4 linked regions of the Arabidopsis thaliana genome follow. The protein of the gene in region 1 binds, or shares a complex with, the protein of each later gene. Each region holds a gene or a part of one and is shown in the gene's direction. Other genes may lie near its edges. The genes, in order: ARP2, ARPC3, ARPC1A and AT5G65274.

Evidence for each region.
Region 2: ARP2 (region 1) and ARPC3 share a complex: the UniProt entries of both Arabidopsis thaliana proteins name them as parts of the arp2/3 complex.
Region 3: ARP2 (region 1) and ARPC1A share a complex: the UniProt entries of both Arabidopsis thaliana proteins name them as parts of the arp2/3 complex.
Region 4: ARP2 (region 1) and AT5G65274 share a complex: the UniProt entries of both Arabidopsis thaliana proteins name them as parts of the arp2/3 complex.

Annotation. Positions count from the first base shown.
Region 1 is NC_003074.8:9,951,941-9,957,652, reverse strand, and holds ARP2 (actin related protein 2), read left to right. Parts: upstream 1-1,670; 5' UTR 1,671-1,868; coding exon 1,869-1,910; intron 1,911-2,199; coding exon 2,200-2,310; intron 2,311-2,428; coding exon 2,429-2,563; intron 2,564-2,651; coding exon 2,652-2,723; intron 2,724-2,802; coding exon 2,803-2,881; intron 2,882-3,002; coding exon 3,003-3,052; intron 3,053-3,133; coding exon 3,134-3,237; intron 3,238-3,325; coding exon 3,326-3,394; intron 3,395-3,492; coding exon 3,493-3,556; intron 3,557-3,960; coding exon 3,961-4,029; intron 4,030-4,124; coding exon 4,125-4,208; intron 4,209-4,304; coding exon 4,305-4,363; intron 4,364-4,448; coding exon 4,449-4,515; intron 4,516-4,603; coding exon 4,604-4,687; intron 4,688-4,785; coding exon 4,786-4,866; 3' UTR 4,867-5,174; downstream 5,175-5,712. UniProt on the Arabidopsis thaliana protein: Functions as ATP-binding component of the Arp2/3 complex which is involved in regulation of actin polymerization and together with an activating nucleation-promoting factor (NPF) mediates the formation of branched actin networks.
Region 2 is NC_003070.9:22,263,849-22,267,598, reverse strand, and holds ARPC3 (actin-related protein C3), read left to right. Parts: upstream 1-1,522; 5' UTR 1,523-1,767; intron 1,768-1,837; exon of another isoform or gene 1,838-1,850; 5' UTR 1,851-1,916; coding exon 1,917-1,919; intron 1,920-2,116; coding exon 2,117-2,225; intron 2,226-2,300; coding exon 2,301-2,570; coding exon of another isoform or gene 2,571-2,602; intron 2,603-2,659; coding exon 2,660-2,802; 3' UTR 2,803-2,820; intron 2,821-2,942; 3' UTR 2,943-3,214; downstream 3,215-3,750. Other genes in the region: PANK1 (pantothenate kinase 1), read left to right, coding at 1-11, 86-179, 276-407, 503-615, 721-946; AT1G60420 (DC1 domain-containing protein), read right to left, coding at 3,356-3,750. UniProt on the Arabidopsis thaliana protein: Functions as a component of the Arp2/3 complex which is involved in regulation of actin polymerization and together with an activating nucleation-promoting factor (NPF) mediates the formation of branched actin networks.
Region 3 is NC_003071.7:13,150,832-13,157,532, forward strand, and holds ARPC1A (actin-related protein C1A), read left to right. Parts: upstream 1-1,957; 5' UTR 1,958-2,066; intron 2,067-2,341; exon of another isoform or gene 2,342-2,407; 5' UTR 2,408-2,615; coding exon 2,616-2,685; intron 2,686-3,055; coding exon 3,056-3,144; intron 3,145-3,339; coding exon 3,340-3,416; intron 3,417-3,519; coding exon 3,520-3,614; intron 3,615-3,730; coding exon 3,731-3,800; intron 3,801-4,058; coding exon 4,059-4,128; intron 4,129-4,363; coding exon 4,364-4,437; coding exon of another isoform or gene 4,438-4,456; intron 4,457-4,524; coding exon 4,525-4,567; intron 4,568-4,664; coding exon of another isoform or gene 4,665-4,688; coding exon 4,689-4,770; intron 4,771-4,905; coding exon 4,906-4,994; intron 4,995-5,088; coding exon 5,089-5,174; intron 5,175-5,331; coding exon 5,332-5,395; intron 5,396-5,594; coding exon 5,595-5,695; intron 5,696-5,817; coding exon 5,818-5,876; intron 5,877-5,970; coding exon 5,971-6,038; 3' UTR 6,039-6,201; downstream 6,202-6,701. Other genes in the region: TBL43 (TRICHOME BIREFRINGENCE-LIKE 43), read left to right, coding at 428-605, 696-871, 960-1,118, 1,283-1,586; COQ3 (coenzyme Q 3), read right to left, coding at 6,578-6,697. UniProt on the Arabidopsis thaliana protein: Functions as a component of the Arp2/3 complex which is involved in regulation of actin polymerization and together with an activating nucleation-promoting factor (NPF) mediates the formation of branched actin networks.
Region 4 is NC_003076.8:26,083,643-26,086,472, forward strand, and holds AT5G65274 (ARP2/3 complex 16 kDa subunit (p16-Arc)), read left to right. Parts: upstream 1-1,657; coding exon 1,658-1,755; intron 1,756-1,833; coding exon 1,834-1,906; intron 1,907-1,950; exon of another isoform or gene 1,951-1,996; coding exon 1,997-2,097; exon of another isoform or gene 2,098-2,182; coding exon 2,183-2,318; downstream 2,319-2,830. Other genes in the region: RABA4a (RAB GTPase homolog A4A), read left to right, coding at 1-27, 461-908; GCL1 (GCR2-like 1), read right to left, coding at 2,487-2,830. UniProt on the Arabidopsis thaliana protein: Functions as a component of the Arp2/3 complex which is involved in regulation of actin polymerization and together with an activating nucleation-promoting factor (NPF) mediates the formation of branched actin networks.

The DNA of each region.
Region 1 (5,712 bases):
AAACACAAGGTGAGTTCAATTTGAGGATGATGATACAAGAGAGTGGAATCTTCAAACCTTTTTTTCCGAGTGTTTGTGACAATTTTTTGGCAGTTGTTGTTTGAACTTGCAGGTGGAGTTTGTTGAATACACACAGCCAGAGATTTTTTTGTTTGGAGTCTTTAAGTTGCAGAGAGGCTTGTTTTTACTTGTTCTGAGTTTTGTTGCTTTTGAATATCAAGAAACCGGCTTTTTTCAGATAGTACAACAATGGTAATGTATACTTGTCTTCCATCACATATTTGTAGAATGAAGATTTATAGCTCTCTTTTGCTCAGTATTCTTCTATTGCATCTCCAAAGATTGTTCTCTTTCGTTCGATCTCTCTGAATGAGTTAAAGACTTTCGTTTAGAGTCGAGTGTAAAACACTTCGCTGCATGTTCTGATTCAGTGGCTTTGAGCTGCAATGGATTTCACAATGATGGTAACGTTGTATTCTTTAACTCTTACTTACATTCATGTTATTGCCCTGAGTGTGCCGTTAACTGTGGGAAGGTTTTGAACTAGGTACAAACCCTTCGCAGTTGGGAACCAAATAAGCTGGTATTGCATTTACTCTTTGCCTTGCAAGCTTTTTCAAAGATAAGTATAAATTGTTCAACGAGTCAAAAAGTTTATATCATTTTACTCATTTTGACTTGAATTTGACGGAACTAAGGAAAGAGACTAAGAGAGAGAGAGAGAGAGAGGTTAACGAGTCAAAAAGTTGCTTGATCTCTATGATTTGTCCAACCAATCAAAACAAGTGAAGAAAATTCAAAAACATTCACAAAGCTCTCTCTTTCCCTTTTGAGCAATGATCTAACTCAACACTATGGTCCAAATACAACTCCAATAGATCCATTCCAAAGCCTCCCTCATGATGAGAGCGTGACTTAAGTTGCTTACTCTTTTAATTTCCATTCTCTTCGACACATTGGGCAAGGAGCTTGACTTGTCTACGAATTCTTCCATTTCAATATACAGAAGTGAAGATGAAACGCGTGGTTACTTTGAGGTCTAAGACATGCAGTTTTGTTCTTACCAGAACTAAATAAAGCAGCTTAGCAATGTTCCAGTAAGCATGAGAGACAGTGTGTGTCCTAATTAACCTATATAAAAGTGAAAACATGAAAGCTGATTTTACATCGAACAAGTCATTGGACTTGTGTGTGTGAAACTGTAAAAGTCTTATCTTATTTTTACTATATTGGTGACTGATACATAACATGTTGTGACAGGAACTTAATTTACAACATGTTATGTAGAATAAATTTTAGTATTGAGACAACATAGAGACAACAAAAAAACCTAGAAGAAGATTGATATCCCAACTTCGTACCAAAACCCTAGTAACATCTTTCTCGTAACATAACCCTAATAGTGATTGAAATCTCTGATCAAGGGATTGCATGATGATCATTTACTAATTCTTAGTTTAGATCATCTAGAAGATTGTTATACAAGTAAACAGAATTATCTGTTTGACCTAATATGGGCCTGAGATAGCCCATCAATACCCACAACCAAGTTAACTCCATCTCAATAATTCGAGAAAAGGGGTAACGTATTTAATAATTTTTTCTATGTATTGACCGTTTGCACTACGTGACGTTTTCACGTAGAGTAAACGACGCGCATTCTTATAAAGAAACGAGGAAACAGCTGCTTTTTGTTTGTCGAAGAGCAAATATGTTTTCTCGATCGCGACCAAACAAGTAGAGAAGAGTGATTCTTCGCTTCGATTCAAAGACAGGTTTTTTCTTTTGTTCCCTGAGAGATCGAATCGAAGAAATCGAAATTTTTGTACTTCGATAAAAATCTGTAGTCTCTATAGAAATCGGAGAAGATGGACAACAAAAACGTCGTCGTTTGCGACAACGGCACCGGTGTAAGCTTCTTCTCTCTGATATCTCTTGTTTCAGACTCCGAACTTTAGTTGAATCTGATCAATCATTCCATTCCTATCTGGGTTTCGTTAAAAATCTCACTTTTGAGTTTGTTTAGGATCTAGTTGTCTTAAAGTTGCAAAATTTGAAAACTTTCATGTCTTAGCATAGTGTAAGATCGTGTTTCTATTGAAATCAAAACTAATACATGAGAAATCTCATAATGGGTTGCTTAAGTTTTGAGTTTCTTGTGATGGGAACAAATTGTGAGCCTCTTATTAAATTTTTCAGTATGTAAAATGTGGATTTGCTGGAGAGAATTTCCCAACGTCTGTTTTCCCCTGTGTCGTGGGAAGGCCATTGCTTCGGTATGAAGAATCACTCATGGAGCAACAAGTCAAGGTTTGTAGATATGTGACTTTAAATAAGCAAAACCAGATCATTGTTAGCCTTTTGAGTTTTGACTGAGCTGATATGCGTAATTCGGATTCATATACGTTTTGGTTTTGTTTCATTTTAGGATATAGTTGTTGGGGAGACTTGCTCTGAGCTCCGGCATCAATTGGATATAAATTATCCTGTCCACAATGGTATTGTGCAGAATTGGGATGATATGGAACATGTTTGGGATCATGCTTTCTATAACGAATTGAAAGTAAGTTTCTTCTCCTGCTTCTTCTTGCCATTTTTGTCTCGGTTCCATGTGTCTTGACTTACTCTTAAACCCTTTTTGTTATTAACAGATCAATCCATCTGACTGTAAGATATTGCTCACGGATCCACCTCTTAATCCGTCCAAGAATCGTGAAAAAATGGTAAGATATTATCAAGTCTTTGGTTAAGAGTTGCTTTGATGGTTGTTGGAGCAGTGATTTATTTTATGTTATAAAACAGATTGAGACAATGTTTGAGAAATACAATTTCGCTGGCGTTTTCATTCAAATCCAAGCCGTTTTGACTCTCTATGCTCAAGGTGCTTATGGAGACTATTGAAGGTTTAGATTTTCTTTCGTGTGTTTAGATAGTCACCTGTAAATAGCATTTATGTGTGCTTCCCTGATATTTTTCTTCATGTGTTGAACTCTTGGTTTCAGGTTTGCTAACTGGTTTGGTTATTGATTCTGGTGATGGTGTTACTCATGTGGTAAGCTATAAACCTCTGTAATTTTTTAGATCATATATTGCTTATAATAGAGAAGTTAACCGTCTTCGCCTCACATCTTAGGTTCCGGTGGTTGACGGCTACTCGTTCCCTCATCTTACTAAAAGAATGAATGTTGCTGGCAGACACATAACAGCATATCTCGTTGATCTACTATCTCGACGAGGGTGAGAAACTGATTCATAGACTCACATTCATTTTAATGATGTTGAGATGTTTTAAATTAGCTAAACTAAAAGACTGTTTGTTCAACAGATATGCGATGAACAAAACAGCTGACTTTGAGACGGTTAGGGAAATTAAAGAGAAGCTCTGCTATATAAGGCATGCAAAGACCTCTTCTCAGCTTTCCTCTAATATCTGTGTAGTAATGCATTACTAGAATAGGAAATAAACACAATTTGTTTTGTCTTTTTTTGCAGTTATGATTACAAGAGAGAATCTCAGCTTGGCCTTGAGACAACTATCCTTGTTAAGAATTATACTGTAAGTCTCTCTCCTGGTATGAACCTGTCAGGTGTGTGAATTTTCAAGGTTTCGATGGCAAATAGAGGCAAGAAACAGAAACTAGTGTACGTTAAGCTAATAGGAATCCAAACTCATGATCAGAACTAAATAGATAGCAGATTCTTGGCGAACTTGAGCCTGTAGAGAACTTTAAAGATTCGTGCCATCATTCCTTTGTTCTTTTTGGTAATGAAAGAATGATATTATCATCTTTTCTTTTCATGACATCGTTTCTCTGTTCTTGGGCGCTGTGTTTGGGATTTTTCATCCGATAGTCGATAAAGTTTCATACTTGTGCCAGTTGCAGCCTCTAAAGCTGATATTATCACCAAATTATTTTTTTTCCAGAGTACTAACCCGTTGTGTTTTTGAACTGTGATCAGCTTCCAGATGGGAGGGTTATCAAAGTAGGCACTGAAAGATTCCAAGCACCTGAAGCGCTTTTTACTCCGGTAAACCTTCATCGCGTCCTCTGCTAATTTCTCTTTTGGAATAGTTTCAACCCTCCAAGAATCTCGAGGCTGATCACAACCAAATATTTTTTCAGGAACTCATTGATGTTGAAGGTGATGGAATGGCAGACATGGTTTTCCGATGTATTCAAGAAATGGATATTGATAACCGCATGATGGTTCGTGTGACTCTTACGCTTGCTTGGTATTTCAAAAGAAAGATCCAACAAAACTAATCATTTATCTGTCTTAAACCCTTTGCTCTTTTTTCACAGCTCTACCAACACATAGTTTTAAGCGGAGGTAGCACCATGTACCCAGGATTACCTAGCCGGTTCGTATATTTTTTCTTCATCATAACCCAGCAAGAAGTTCCATTGTTTTATGTTTCATTGTCTTTTATTCTCTGTTTGTTTCAGTCTTGAGAAAGAAATACAGGATCGGTATCTCGACACAGTTCTAAAAGGAAACAAAGATGGCTTGAAGGTAAAAAAGATGATTCTGATAATGCCATGATCACTGTCAGTCATTAGCTCAGTTTTTAACATTTATCTTCGTTTTTCTTATCAATCAGAAACTCAGATTGCGGATCGAAGATCCACCGAGAAGGAAACACATGGTATACCTCGGAGGTGCTGTTCTTGCAGGAATCATGAAGGTAAGAGAAAAGTTCAATGCTATTCTCTCTTTTAACACGAAAGCATGAAATTTTAGTCTGTGTTATGATGTTAAGAGAATTTGGATTCGATGTTGCAGGACGCACCAGAGTTCTGGATCAATAGAGAGGACTATATGGAAGAAGGAATTAATTGTTTGAATAAAATGAGCCAAGCTTAATAACTTTCAAACGCAGAACTCATACTTGTACTTGTACCCCTTTTTTTTACTACCGTCAGGATGATTTAATTCCGTTTGTGAATTCAGTATTTTAGGTTTCAAAGTTTGAGTACAATTGGTTGCAGTTAGGGATCCAAAATTCGACATGTGATTGGTGGGATATACAGAAAAACGTGTATTAACTAATAATGTTGAGACTAATATATTGTGTAATAACCAAAGCCAAAAGGTCGAGAAGAGACGAAATGCATATATCTTAATTCTTGAGTAAGCAAACAGAGTCAAAACAGTGAAAGATTATTTGTAATTTTGAAAAGGAACCCTATTTCTTGCCACACAAGGTAGATCCCTATTGTTTTCTGTTAAAACCCAAAAGATTGCCACAACTCTGAATTGATGGAACCAGCTTCCTTCTACTGCATGTTCTGCAGCTAGTCTAAGTACAGCAGCTTCAAGCTAGATCAAAGACAAAATGATTACCTAACCTGCCATGAGTAAAAAAGGATTTGAAAACTTTTAAATTAACTAGAAACAAAAAAAACTGATTTACAATCCCAAAATAAAAAACTGTAAAAACTTTTTGAGGTCTTAATATGGGCTTTGGCCCAATAACGGCAACACCGTGTCAGAAACGTTGGTGTTGGTGACTGTTAAACTACCTCAACGACATATAAAACATTATGAGCGTTGGCCCAATAAAGAGATATAGGCCCATAAAGTTATAGAGAAATCACCCGGTGGTTCATCCAAATCTAACCACGACGAAGATTATTTCCAAACTGCTCAAACTTCTCCGGCGAGTTTTGGAGACATTATCGGAAAACGGCGCCATTTTATTAACCGTGA
Region 2 (3,750 bases), on another chromosome or scaffold:
AAATGCAAGAGGTGACTTCTTAGTTAAGTCTATTAATGTAAGTTTCCTCCTTGCCTGAGTAACAACTAATATTTCTTAATTTCAGTTTTGATGAGCTGCTAGAGTTAAGCCACCATGGAAATAACAGAGTAATTGACATGCTTGTGGGGGATATCTACGGTGGAACAGATTATTCAAAGGTAATTGATTGATCCTGGTTTTGCTTAAACATGTCTGAAGACTTTTAGATTAGATTCATATGTTAATATAACCTTTTGTTCATTCTTTTTTGATAGATTGGTCTCTCCTCAACAGCTATCGCTTCCAGCTTTGGGAAAGCGATTTCTGATGGTAAAGAACTTGAAGATTACCAGCCAGAAGATGTGGCAAGGTCCCTTCTAAGAATGATATCAAATAACATCGGTCAGGTCAGTTCCTCTGAACATTTTAATGCCATTTTAAAACATAATTTGAAGCTGATGATATTCTGATCGAATTGTAACGTTTTCTACTCTCCCTCCAGATTGCTTATTTGAATGCTCTCAGATTCGGTCTTAAGCGTATTTTCTTTGGTGGATTTTTCATCCGTGGGCTTGAGTACACCATGGACACAATCTCCGTTGCTGTTCACTTTTGGTAAATCCAAAACCGAAACTACTTAATCAAATCCCTCCATATCTTAAACTCATGTATGTCCACAAAATCTTTATCGAACTTTCTCATTTTTCCTTCTCATTTCAGGTCGAGAGGTGAGGCAAAGGCAATGTTTTTACGACATGAAGGGTTTCTTGGAGCATTAGGCGCTTTCACGAGCTACAATGACCAGAGCCATAACGATTTAAAACCGCATCATCACACTGTGCAAAGAGCAATTCTCAACTGTTCAGGTCATAACTTTCGGCACATCCCAGTAACTTCAAATTTAAACGAAAGCGAGACCATAGAATGTAGCATCAATTTAGTTTAGTTATCACCAGTTGTATTATTATCAATTCAGTGTAGAAATATGTTTAATCAACTGTTTGAGTCAAGAGCTGCTCATTACTAGTTTGTTGAATGTTAGACACATTTATGTAAGATGATTCACGTATTAATATTCATGTATGACCAATGTAACTTGTACTATATATCACACAAAGAATCAAACACACTTATTAAATCTCACTAGAGCTTCTTTAAATCTCGGTTTAGTCCGGTGCATTGCAAGTATTTGTGCATTTCTGTTTAGCCTTTGTTTACTAAGTTTTGTATATTGCTTATGTAACAAGTTTTTATCCATTCAGCAGAAATAACAGAAACTTGACACTTATATGGACATTTTGTTGTTGTTGTTGATTGAAGATCAATGTTTAATCCGGTCAAACCACTTTGATGTAACCCGAAACTGAACCGAAGAATGAACCACATCATTATTTGGTTTTTGATGTACCTAATTCCAGTGGTCGATAAGAAACCAAATTTCAAATAAAAAAACCGAGAAACTCAAAAATCAAAGCTAAGCCGGATTTAACATTGGTTACTCCCGGTACGAAGCAATGTACCACATTCATGGAGTCTTACACGTGTCATCCATACCTCTCTGTCTTCTTCTTCTTCTGTTCTTCATTCCTTTTTCCTACTTCGTCGATTTTCCATTTCAATTTCTTCTTCAGCCGGCGATTAAGCTTCCCAATAAGACAATCTCCGACCGCCGCAACATCACGAAGGATTCTTCACCGTGTGAACTTTACGCAGTCTTTCCTCTTTCGTAGACGCTAAAGAAGTTGAAATTGATCTGATCTCGTTTAGGTAAAAACTTTTTCTTTCTTCATCTATAGAATCAATCGTTCACCTAAATTCTGATTCTTATATATCCAAGATCTTAATTGCAGCAGATCTACCTTCGATTCGATTCTTCTCCTTCCTGATATCGCTTCATTGTTCAAATTCGGCACAAAATGGTACGGATCACCATTTTCTTATCTTTCAATTAGCATTAATCGCATTTCATTTTGTAACTAATGAAATTAGATTAGATCTTCGATGAGATTTTTTTTATTTATTGAGCTTGTTTCACTTTGATTTGGTTCCATGGAGTATTTAACTCTGCGATGCTCATTTTGTTTCCTTAATCCTTGTGATTAAATGCTCTGATCAGGTTTATCACTCGAGTTTTGTGGATGAAGAAGGAGTAACAAAGGCATGTGGTTGTCCATTGCTTCCTCTCAAGAGTCATATAAAAGGTCCTGCACCTGTTTCAGAACAAGGTAATTAATCAAAACATGTGATTTTTTTCAATTGTGCGATCGAAAGCTTTTGTAAATTGTTGGTTTTATATGCAGATAAAACTGATATAGTAGACGAGGCAATCACCTTCTTTCGTGCTAATGTCTTCTTCACAAACTTTGATATCAAAAGTCCTGCTGATAAGCTCCTTATTTACTTGACGTTTTATATAAATGTGGCGTTAAAGAGGCTTGAAGGCTGTAGAACATTGGCTGTTGGAACTAAAGCGATTATCAACTTGGGTTTAGAAGATATTCCTGTTCCTGGAGAAACTGGCTTTCCTTTCCCAGGTCTCTTTTCGCTTCCGCAGTCCCAGGACGAAGCAGGTATATATACATGTCTAAACAACTCTTATTGATTTTTCTTTCAGTTACTTGGTCCTTAGCCTTGTGTTCTGTTTGGCTTCAAATGTCAGAGCTTTTCAGGAACTATCTTAAGCAGGTTCGAGAGGAGACAAGTGGGAGGTTACTGAGTGTAGCATATAGAGCCAACGGGACACCAAATAAATGGTGGCTTGCATTCGCCAAGAGGAAATTCATGAACGTGGTCGTCCTATGATAAAACAGAGAATCACTGGTAAGTATCACTTTAGTTTACTGGATCCAAAATCCCACGTGATCTTAGATCCATCTCAAACAGTTCTACATTTCAAGCTTAAAATGTTTTTCTTTTGATCTGATTTTTTCATAATTTAGCAGCTGGTTATTCTTCCTTGCTTGCTGCCCATTACGAATGAGGGAATCCAAAGCCACTGGAGATCATGAGAATCGCCACCTTTAGCTTCCTCTGCATAGGTGTTAGCCACTGGAACCAGGAAGACGAAAATTTCATCTGAGAGCAGAATGCTCTCTCTCTGTATCTCTTGATATATACATAGAGTGTGCCAATGTATTGTTTCATACAACTCCTGTTGGAATATAAAATTTGTTGATACAAGATCAAAGTTAAATAAGAAGATTCTTTTATTATTACTTTAGATTAACAGAGTTTATCTCCAAGGTCTTAATCAGATATCAGATTGTAACCACACATTCTCACTCTTAGCAATTATACAAAGAAAGGAAATAGCTTTGCATACACATAGTGACATAACTGTGCCTGAAGCTACCTATCAGGCCTTGGTGCATACGTTTCCTTCACAAACCCAACCATCTTTGGACTCGTCGCCACCAACTTTCACAGCCTCATCGCCGTTTTCTTTTGTGTCCTCGTTTAAAGCACACTTGGCGTGAAGATCAAAGTCGCATTCGTCGCAATGGTAAGACCATATTGTCCCTTCTTCCTCACACTTATCGCATGTGTAAACCTGAACACGAGTTAGTTCTAGCTCATGTTCTTCATGGAGAACATGTTTCACCTTCTTAGGCCAATCTTTTGCTATCTCATCGTACTTAGCTTCAATCTCCTTCAAACGTTCCTCAGTAAAAGGGTAAGCATCGGCTCCATGGGCTACGACAAGGTCCCTTGCTTCTTTTGTTACGGTTTGCCCAGTTGGTCCCAGAGCTG
Region 3 (6,701 bases), on another chromosome or scaffold:
TTAACTTTTAAGGCATGTAACTAGTCATAGGTGAATTGCTATGAGTACCACTATACTTCAGGACGACTTGGGCATCAACTAGCATTGTATCGGAAAATTTCATTTTCAAAAACGTCTTTAGTATTTCTTGAGGGGGATTAATAGGTTTTTAATTAGGATTTATTATTGGATTCAAATCCCCTTTTATGTCGCATATAAGTTCATATGTAACTATGTAAGAATGTTATAGAATTTAGTAACCGAAGCAGCTGGTACATAAATCCATAACTATCATTTATTGGAATAAAACTGTTACAAAGACAATAAGTCACAAAATGTTACAAATTAACGGAAGTACCCAACCATTTTGTGGTAAATTATTAAACGTGAATATTTTCTCCTATGAATGATATAGAAGTGTTAAATTGATTAATGATGAATGGTGCAGATTCAACGGCTTAGATTTTCTGGGAAGGATAATGAAAGGGAAGAAACTGATGTTCGTAGGAGATTCACTGAGTCTAAACCAATGGCAATCTCTCACGTGTTTGCTCCACAACGCCGCACCAAAAGCCAATTCCACATCCACACGTTCCCCTTCTGGCCTCTCCGTCTTCTCATTCCCCGTAACGTTTTCTAACTTTATCAAACTCGTTCCGGTATTGATCCGGTTTAATAATTCTGGTTCGGTTCGTATTTAAATGCATGCAATGCAGGCTTACAATTCTTCGATTATGTTTTCAAGAAACGCGTTTCTTGTGGATATAGTCGGAGCCCCACCGAAGCGAGTGATGAAGCTTGACTCAATCTCGAGTGGTTCGTTGTGGAAAACCGCAGACGTTTTGGTCTTCAACTCTTGGCATTGGTGGCTTCACACAGACCGAAAACAACCGTAAAATCATCTTTATGTCGTCAAACATATTTTGCTATGGACTATGGACTTATTAGTATCTAACTAATGTAATCATTTGGGGTTGCAGATGGGACGCAATTATGTCCGGGAATGTAACGGTTAAAGACATGGACCGGTTAGTGGCATATGAGAAAGCAATGATGACTTGGGCTAAGTGGATTGATCAAAATATTGATCCTTCCAAAACCAAAGTCTTCTTCCAAGGTATTTCTCCGGACCATGGCCGGTAAGTTCTACCTCTATATAACTTCTTTTTTATTCGATACATACATTAAATCAACGATAAAAACTTAACACGATTGATATATGTTGGATTAGTCTATAAGTTTTCGTTAGAACCAAATAATTTCATGTTGATATTGTTAACAATAATGGTACATAATGTTACAGGGCAAGGGAATGGTCGAAACAAGGTGGCAAAGGCAGTTGCATAGGAGAAACAAAGCCGATTATGGGATCGAGTTACCTGGCTGGGCCGCACGCAGCCGAGATGGTGGTGGCGAAAGTGATAAAGACGATGAAGAATCAGGCGCGGTTAATGGATGTGACATTGATGTCTCAGCTAAGGAAAGATGGACATCCTTCAGTATACGGTTTTGGCGGTCACAGAATGGCGGATTGTAGCCATTGGTGTCTCTCTGGAGTCCCGGATAGCTGGAACCAGCTCTTGTATTCTGAGCTGTTTCATTCTTAAAATTTTGATGGTTTTGACACAAAACTAAATTCATTATATGATTTATACATTTATTTATGACCTAACCATGTTTGTGTTGTTTTACACATTTATTTTATGTCATAAACATGTTTATTTAGAATTTCAAATTCATTTGTCAACCAAAATGTTTAAATGAGAACAAGATTCTTTGACTGGTCGAACAATTTATAAGAGAAGAATTTGCAAGAATATAACCTTATGATCTCGTTATAATTGAATGGACTAAATATGTGTCCTGAATCTCTAAGTGAGAGATTAGAGGAAGACCAAAACTAGAAGTAAACCTTATTCCACGAGAGGGGATAACTAGCGTAGCTTATATAATAACTTTGTACAATGATTTGGGGTTAAGTTATTTTTGGATTATGCTAAATCAAAATCTAATATAGTGGTGCAAGCCCCTTGACTTGGGTCAATGATTCAAAAGCTTATACAAAAAAAAAAACGAAAAAACTAATAGTAAAACATTACTTTAGAAAAAAGTTACTAATCAATATTTTTTTAAAAATTTCAGATTACTTTATAAGTTACTCTATACTCATAGACTCATAGTGAGATATAGTTCTATTTTTACATGGATGAATTGGATCGAATCCATTTATCTACATTAATGTATTTAACTAATGCAGAACTTAAGCCTTTTATCGGAAAAAACAAAAACAAAACTAATGCAGATTACAGAACTATAGATTTAAAAATAAAAATAATTCGATTTTTTCCTTATTATTATGCTGGTTTGCCCAAAAATAAAGGTCCAAGTAAAACTGAAATTGATCTGGTCATAAAAATTGGGGCTTTAGTAAAAAAAAAAAAAAAAAAAAAAACATCTGTCTCTTTCACTTCACGTTTGCGACTGTGTCGTCGTCCACCTCCGGATCTCATCGGCGTTTCATCATAATTATCTGTCCATCTATTCACCGTACGACTCCGTTTTAGGAATCTGTGGATGTCAATTTGAGAGAAAAGACTGTCTTCATTACAACACATTTGGGACAACAAGGATCACTCATGGCAGTGGTGGATGTTCATCGTTTCGCTGAGTCAATCACTTGCCATGCTTGGAGTCCTGATCTCTCCAGTATGTTTCTAACACCTCTCTGATTTTGTGATTCTCTTCTTTCTCTCTTCCGTCGTTTTTTCCGTTTTAGAATTATAAATGAGGAGGATCTATCTATAGTTAGTTTGGCTGGGAAGATAGATAGATGATACAACTAAATTGACTTGTGTTATTCTTATACATCTTGGTAATCAAATTTCTTCGAGTCAATGTTTTATATGTCTGTTTGTCGGTGTCTCTTGTTAGGAACACTTGGTATCTAGTATTGTACATTAGTAGATGCGCTTTTCTAAACAGATGAACCAAATCTATTGTTACAAATGATTTAACGTCTGTACTAAAGCCTGTAACCATTTATGTGCTTTGACATTTGTTTCGTTTTTCTTGGTAGTGGTTGCTCTCTGTCCTAACAACACTGAAGTTCATATCTATAAATCATTGTCTCAAGACCACTGGGAGAGGTTACATGTCCTCCAAAAGGTGAAACCTTTCTCTCTCCCTCTCTTTCTGTAACTTTTGAACTTGCATTCCTTTTGCTTTCTCTTCTTGGGAATTCCTTACTTTCGTATATTTATGTATTCTCATTTCACTGATCACTTGTCGCTGATAAGTGTTGTATAGACAGCTTGAATCTCCCTTACAACAACTTCATGATTATTGTTCGTCTTGTTGCAGCATGACCAAATTGTTTCTGGAATAGATTGGAGCTCAAAGTCCAACAAAATCGTCACTGTTTCTCATGACAGGAACTCGTAAGTTGCTACCTTTGATATACTTTGAGAAACTCCAAACCTGTTAATCTTAGTCCTTCACTTTTTTTCGTTCGTTGAACTGAGTTTAGAATGCTTCTTGAAGGTACGTCTGGAGCCTGGAAGGAGCTGAATGGGTACCAACTCTCGTTATTCTTAGACTAAATCGTGCTGCACTTTGTGTCCAATGGAGCCCCAAAGGTAAATGTTTAATTTTTCTGGTTCTTAAGCTTAATTTCCGTAATATGTAGTGTAATTTTCCTATAATTTCTACAGCTTCTAATCTATGTTCTCATCTTTTTGCTCAATACCCATAGAGAACAAGTTTGCTGTTGGAAGTGGTGCTAAAACTGTTTGTATTTGCTATTATGAGCAAGAGAATAACTGGTATTTTCTTCTTCTGCTCCTAATTCTCATTATTAGTCCTTGATTTTTTCTTTGGCAAGTTTCCTGACTTCTTTGCTACGAATGGTGTTGTTGGTCTATGTAATGATATTATTTTGTCTTATGTACTGGCATGATATTAGCACCAATCATATTTTTTATTATCTTGGCATGCATAACTGTGTATTGTTTAGAGATTTTAGAAAGATACTTTCATGTAAACTTTTAGTATCTGACATTGCTTGGCTTTACTGTTTTCAGGTGGGTCAGTAAGCTAATCCGGAAAAGGCACGAATCTTCAGTCACATCTGTTGCTTGGCATCCTAATAATGTACGTGCAATCAACAGAACCTCTTGTAGTTCATGTAGTTAAAATAATAAGCAGGCTCTCTGTAAAAGCATTCTCTACCAAAAATATTCTATAAGTTGGCCACCAGATTGAGTATAGAGTACATGATCCCTAAAAATAGAATATCAATCTCCACAAACTAGTTAATCTTCTAAATCATTTTTTCTCGTATGCTTTTTTATGTTGCTGTGCTCTCTGATTGTCTGTTATGCATTAGGTTCTTCTGGCAACGACATCAACAGATGGAAAATGTCGGGTATTTTCAACATTTATCAAAGGAGTTGACACAAAGTATGCTCATTACTTGAACGTCTACTTTTAAAACATTTTTTCAAACATGAGGCCGTTTCTTATTTGTCTTTCAATGGGCTGATACAGGGATTCAAAAGCAGGCTCACCAGCGGAAACGAAATTTGGGGAGGTTTGACTCGTTTGGCTGGCTTTCCTTCTTTTAGTAAATAGTATACCACTTCTGCCATATATATGTTCCCTCTACTCACTCTCTTATCTAATGTTAGGGAGCTTTTTTTCTGTTGAAACAGCAAATTCTTCAGCTTGATCTCTCATATTCTTGGGCATTTGGTGTTAAATGGTCTCCAAGTGGAAACACCTTAGCTTATGTAGGTCAGAATATCCTTAAAACTTAAGATGTTTGTCCATTGAGCTCTACTGGAATTATAAAAATGGAACTTCACCTTGGTTGCATAATTTTTACTACACTCCGTCTCACTTCCCTTGTTCATGCAATCTTGTTTATAGGTCATAGCTCCATGATTTACTTTGTTGATGATGTTGGTCCTTCTCCTTTAGCCCAAAGCGTTGCATTTCGAGATTTGCCTCTTCGTGATGTGGGTCAGCATCCACTCTTTTTTTTCTTTTGAGAAAGTGTTCTCATGTGTTATATCCTGAATTGATATATTATCGGGAACTTGCTATCTTCAGGTCCTGTTTATTTCTGAGAAAATGGTGATAGGCGTGGGATATGACAGCAACCCGATGGTATTTGCCTCAGATGATACTGGAATATGGTGTGTAACTCTTAGTTTTCTCTTTCTTAGCTATTTCCAGACAATCAAATACTTCAATTCATTAATTCTCCTTAGCTCTCAGGCCGGATAGTTATTTCTGAAATCATCCACACACCGATGATTGCCTTGTTTACAAGTTTTTGTTTATGGTCTGCAGGAGCTTTATCAGATACATCGGAGAGAAGAAAGCAGCATCTTCAAATTCCAGTTACAGTTCGCAGGTACATACCATGTTTTCTTTCTTGAATAAAATATGAGTGAACTTAGCTTATTCCTGAAGTGTTCCTCTAAGATAGTAGTAATCTTTCGGGTTAGTGTAGTTGCTCCTTTTTTCTCCTTGGGTTTACTACTTTGAACTTTCCACTTGCATTATTTGTACTGTTTTGTCTAATCCTTTTTTTCATTATGTTATCTTTTCAGTTTTCTGAAGCATTTGGAAAATTCTACGGCAGTCAATCAAAGTCCACAACAGCCAACGATGCTTCTGAATCACGTGGAGGTGTTCATGATAACTGCATAAAGTAATTATTTCTTAAGCTAACTTTTCTTTTACCAAATCATTTGCCAGAAACCTGCCTCATTAACTCTTTTACTTCGATTGTCTATTAAGAACCTGACATGGAAGGTTACCTGAAAATTGCAGTTCCATTGTGTCTCTGAGCAAAGCAGGGAGTCCTAAAGTAATGCGATTCAGCACTTCAGGTCAGTCACTAATACAAAATGGAATTAGCCGATTCAGTTCTCAAAAAACAAACCAGCAGTTTCATTTACTCGCATAACGGTTTGTTATTTATAGGATTGGATGGCAAAGTTGCCATATGGGATCTGGAGAACATGGAACAAGAACTTGGCAATCAGTTTTAATAAACACACAAATAAAACAATTCTGGCTCACAAGCAAGGTTTTACTTAAGTTTAAACTACTTTTTCAATTTCGTAATTGTTTCACTTTGTAAACTGCCACAATAAAAGGCCTTATTTTCTTGGTTTGTGTAAGGGCAGGTATTAATAAGTTTCTTGGCTTCATGATTTGATTCATTTAGTTAGCATCTTGTAATACCTTTTATATATAGTAATATCAGCTTTGTGTCGAAAGGAGTCCATATTGAACCAAACACAACAATTTCGCAAAATTTTCAAGTTCTTGAGAAGAAGCAAAAAGCTTTGGTCCTCCGAACTATGCCATATTTACCACAAAACGAGATATCGACAAACATTAATCTTCTATCAGATGACAGAAGTGTGATTCAGAAGACCAAATATTCTTTGAATGTTTCTCACTTATTGCAAAACAACTACTGTCCTCGTCCTAAGCAACTTCCAGAGTACCTAGTTTTTAAAGCATGAACTAGAGTTGTAACTCAGAAGCAGATATGCAGAGAAACACGACTTGGAACGATTGATTATATGTCTCCAAGATCCTTCCTTTTCGTCCCATAAGCAATATAGTTGACACTAATATCATCTGACAATAACCATCTTCCTGTTATTGGGTTGTACACAAATCCAGCTATCTCTTTCACCTGC
Region 4 (2,830 bases), on another chromosome or scaffold:
GATCTGGGATACCGCCGGCCAAGAACGGTAATCTCCGACCTCTCCCGGAACTTTTAGCTACTTCAATTGCTTGAACTTAGATCTCGTAAGATTTTACTGTTTCTCTAGATCTGGAAGATGATAGGTCTGCTTAGGATTTCGAATTCTAGTAAAGCTTACTGATCTGTATACGAAATTGGGAGGATCTGAAGTAAAATGGTAGAATCATTGAGAATTTGGGATTGGGATTTCAAAATTATGTATAGACTAGAATTATGTATATTACTATTCCAATGTTATTAAGCTTCTATAATTTTATGATTGGTACAAATTTGGACACTTTTGTTATACATTTCCCAGTGATGCTTCATCAACTTTATACATTCACTGATCTTTAATGAGTAAGCTAACCACCACATTTCATGCTTATCATATGCTTACATTGTATATCTTTCTATATGTGTGGTATTGGTTGAAACAGATACAGAGCAGTAACAAGTGCATATTACCGAGGAGCGGTTGGGGCGATGTTGGTGTATGACATAACCAGACGCCAAACCTTTGACCATATCCCAAGATGGTTAGAAGAACTACGTGCTCATGCAGATAAGAACATTGTGATAATCCTTATTGGGAACAAGTCAGATCTTGTGGATCAACGAGCTATACCGACAGAAGATGCGAAAGAATTTGCGGAGAAAGAAGGTTTGTTCTTCTTGGAGACATCTGCATTTAACGCAACCAATGTTGAGAGCGCTTTCTCCACGGTTTTGACTGAGATCTTCAACATTGTGAACAAGAAAAGTCTGGCTGCGAGTGAAGATCAAGAGAATGGTAATCCCGGGTCGCTTGCTGGTAAGAAGATTGATATTGTTCCAGGTCCTGGTCAAGTGATACCAAACAAGAGTAACATGTGTTGTAACTCTTAGATAAACCAATTCAATTCTTGAATGTTACTTGATAACAACAATATATAGATGTTTTAAAGACTCTGATTGGGATATTTCTCCTATCTAGAGCTGTGTGATTCATTTGTTGCTTAATGAGCAGTTTTTGTGGGGTTTTGGGGTGTTGAATCCAAGTATAACAAACCGATCTTAATTTGATCTTAAAAATTGGATATTAATTTGATCAACATGTTTTTATTCTCTCTACATTTGTAAGATTATTGTTACATTTTTGTTAATTACAAATATATACCAGCAATAACAACTTTTCTATTTCTCTTGTTACGTCAATGTGAAAAAGTAAAAATTAAAAACTGAAGCATCCGATTTTAATAATTGGTATCACAGTTCTGATAAATTCTCACTCGGCCGTTTTACCACTCGATTGCTTTATTCTCTCTAATTTCAGGTAATCTTCGAATCCTGCTTGATTCTTCAATCTTGTATGATTTGATCAGAAAGTTCAGGATTACTGATCTGATATGATGTGAGAAATCTGCGTACCATCGGCAATGGATTGTTTTACGTGATTAGAATTGATTTTGTCGTGATTGTTACTTCTCTTTTTAGCTTTTTATGGGGATGACAAGTTTTGCATTGCCTCCTTTGGTTAGTAAACTCAAATCATATGTTTCTTATGCAGCAAGTTGTCGATTTGAATGAAGAAATGAAATTAATTGATTAGGTTTTAGATAATTTTGCTGGAGAGTGTAGAGAAAGAGAGAGATCCAATGGCTGGTGCAGCAGCATTTGTTGAAGCTGATAATGCAGAGGAAATAATGGCAAGGATCGAAACCAAATCGCAGAAGATTGAAAGCTTACTCAAACAGTAATAACCCTAAAGTTCCTTTTTTCTTCCAACTTTCTCAGATGACCTAGGCTATAATTGTTACTTCGTTTTATTCAGCTACAAACATGTCGAAGCTCTTAAAACGGCTCTTGATGGTTCGCCACCTAAAACTCTCGACGAACGTTGCAAGGTCCTACTGTTTCCTCTACCATGCACATAAGTAGTTTGTTCATGATCAAAAAGATTGTGTAATTTATGATAAATATCTGTGAAATTGCAGTCAGCTAATTGGATAGTTGTGCACAGAGCTATCATGGCGATAAAGGATATCGAAGGAATGTTAAATTCTCTTACTGCCGAGTATTACGACATTCTCATGAAGTAAGTCTCTTGCCTTTTGCTCTGCTAGCTTTTAATTAGCGTGATGTGGAAGCAGTGTTTTGTTTGCTTAAATGGTGTGGATCAGGTACTTGTACAGAGGTCTTTCGACTGGTGACGAACCCACATGCGAACAGTGTTTGATGATTCACGAGAAACTAACAGAGAGAGCTGGTCTCGGTTGCATTCTCCGTTGTCTGAGTGATACTACCAATACCGTTTAAACCATTAAGCTGATCTTTTCATGTTACTTTTATTCTTGTTTTCTATGAATGTTTCTCCCAAATCTCAAGTTACTTCAATAGATTATAGAAAGTGGAATAAACCGGAGAACCTAAGATCCTTTCACAAAGAGATAGTCATAAAAGAACCTACGGTTACCTGGTTTTAAATTATATCTCATAACCAGGAAACTTAGAATCTACCGGCGACACAAGATCGAACCAGAGGCATACTGGTCCAGCTAGTCCCCGGAATAGCGAATAATCATGTTCTGTTTCTTGGCTTGTCATATTCACGAGCTCTATCGCATCACGGCACAAGTAACTCGCAAACGCTTTTGCTCTCTCTTCATATACAACATCTCCGGTTAAGCGATAAAGGGATAAGAAAGCGTAGGCATTACCAGCAACTCCATCAGCTAAACCTACCTTCTTCACCAAGCCACTCTTCCACACTACTTCTCCTGCTTCAATGGCTGCTTCGCGGAAATCCCTTTCCTTGGGAAACACCTGAG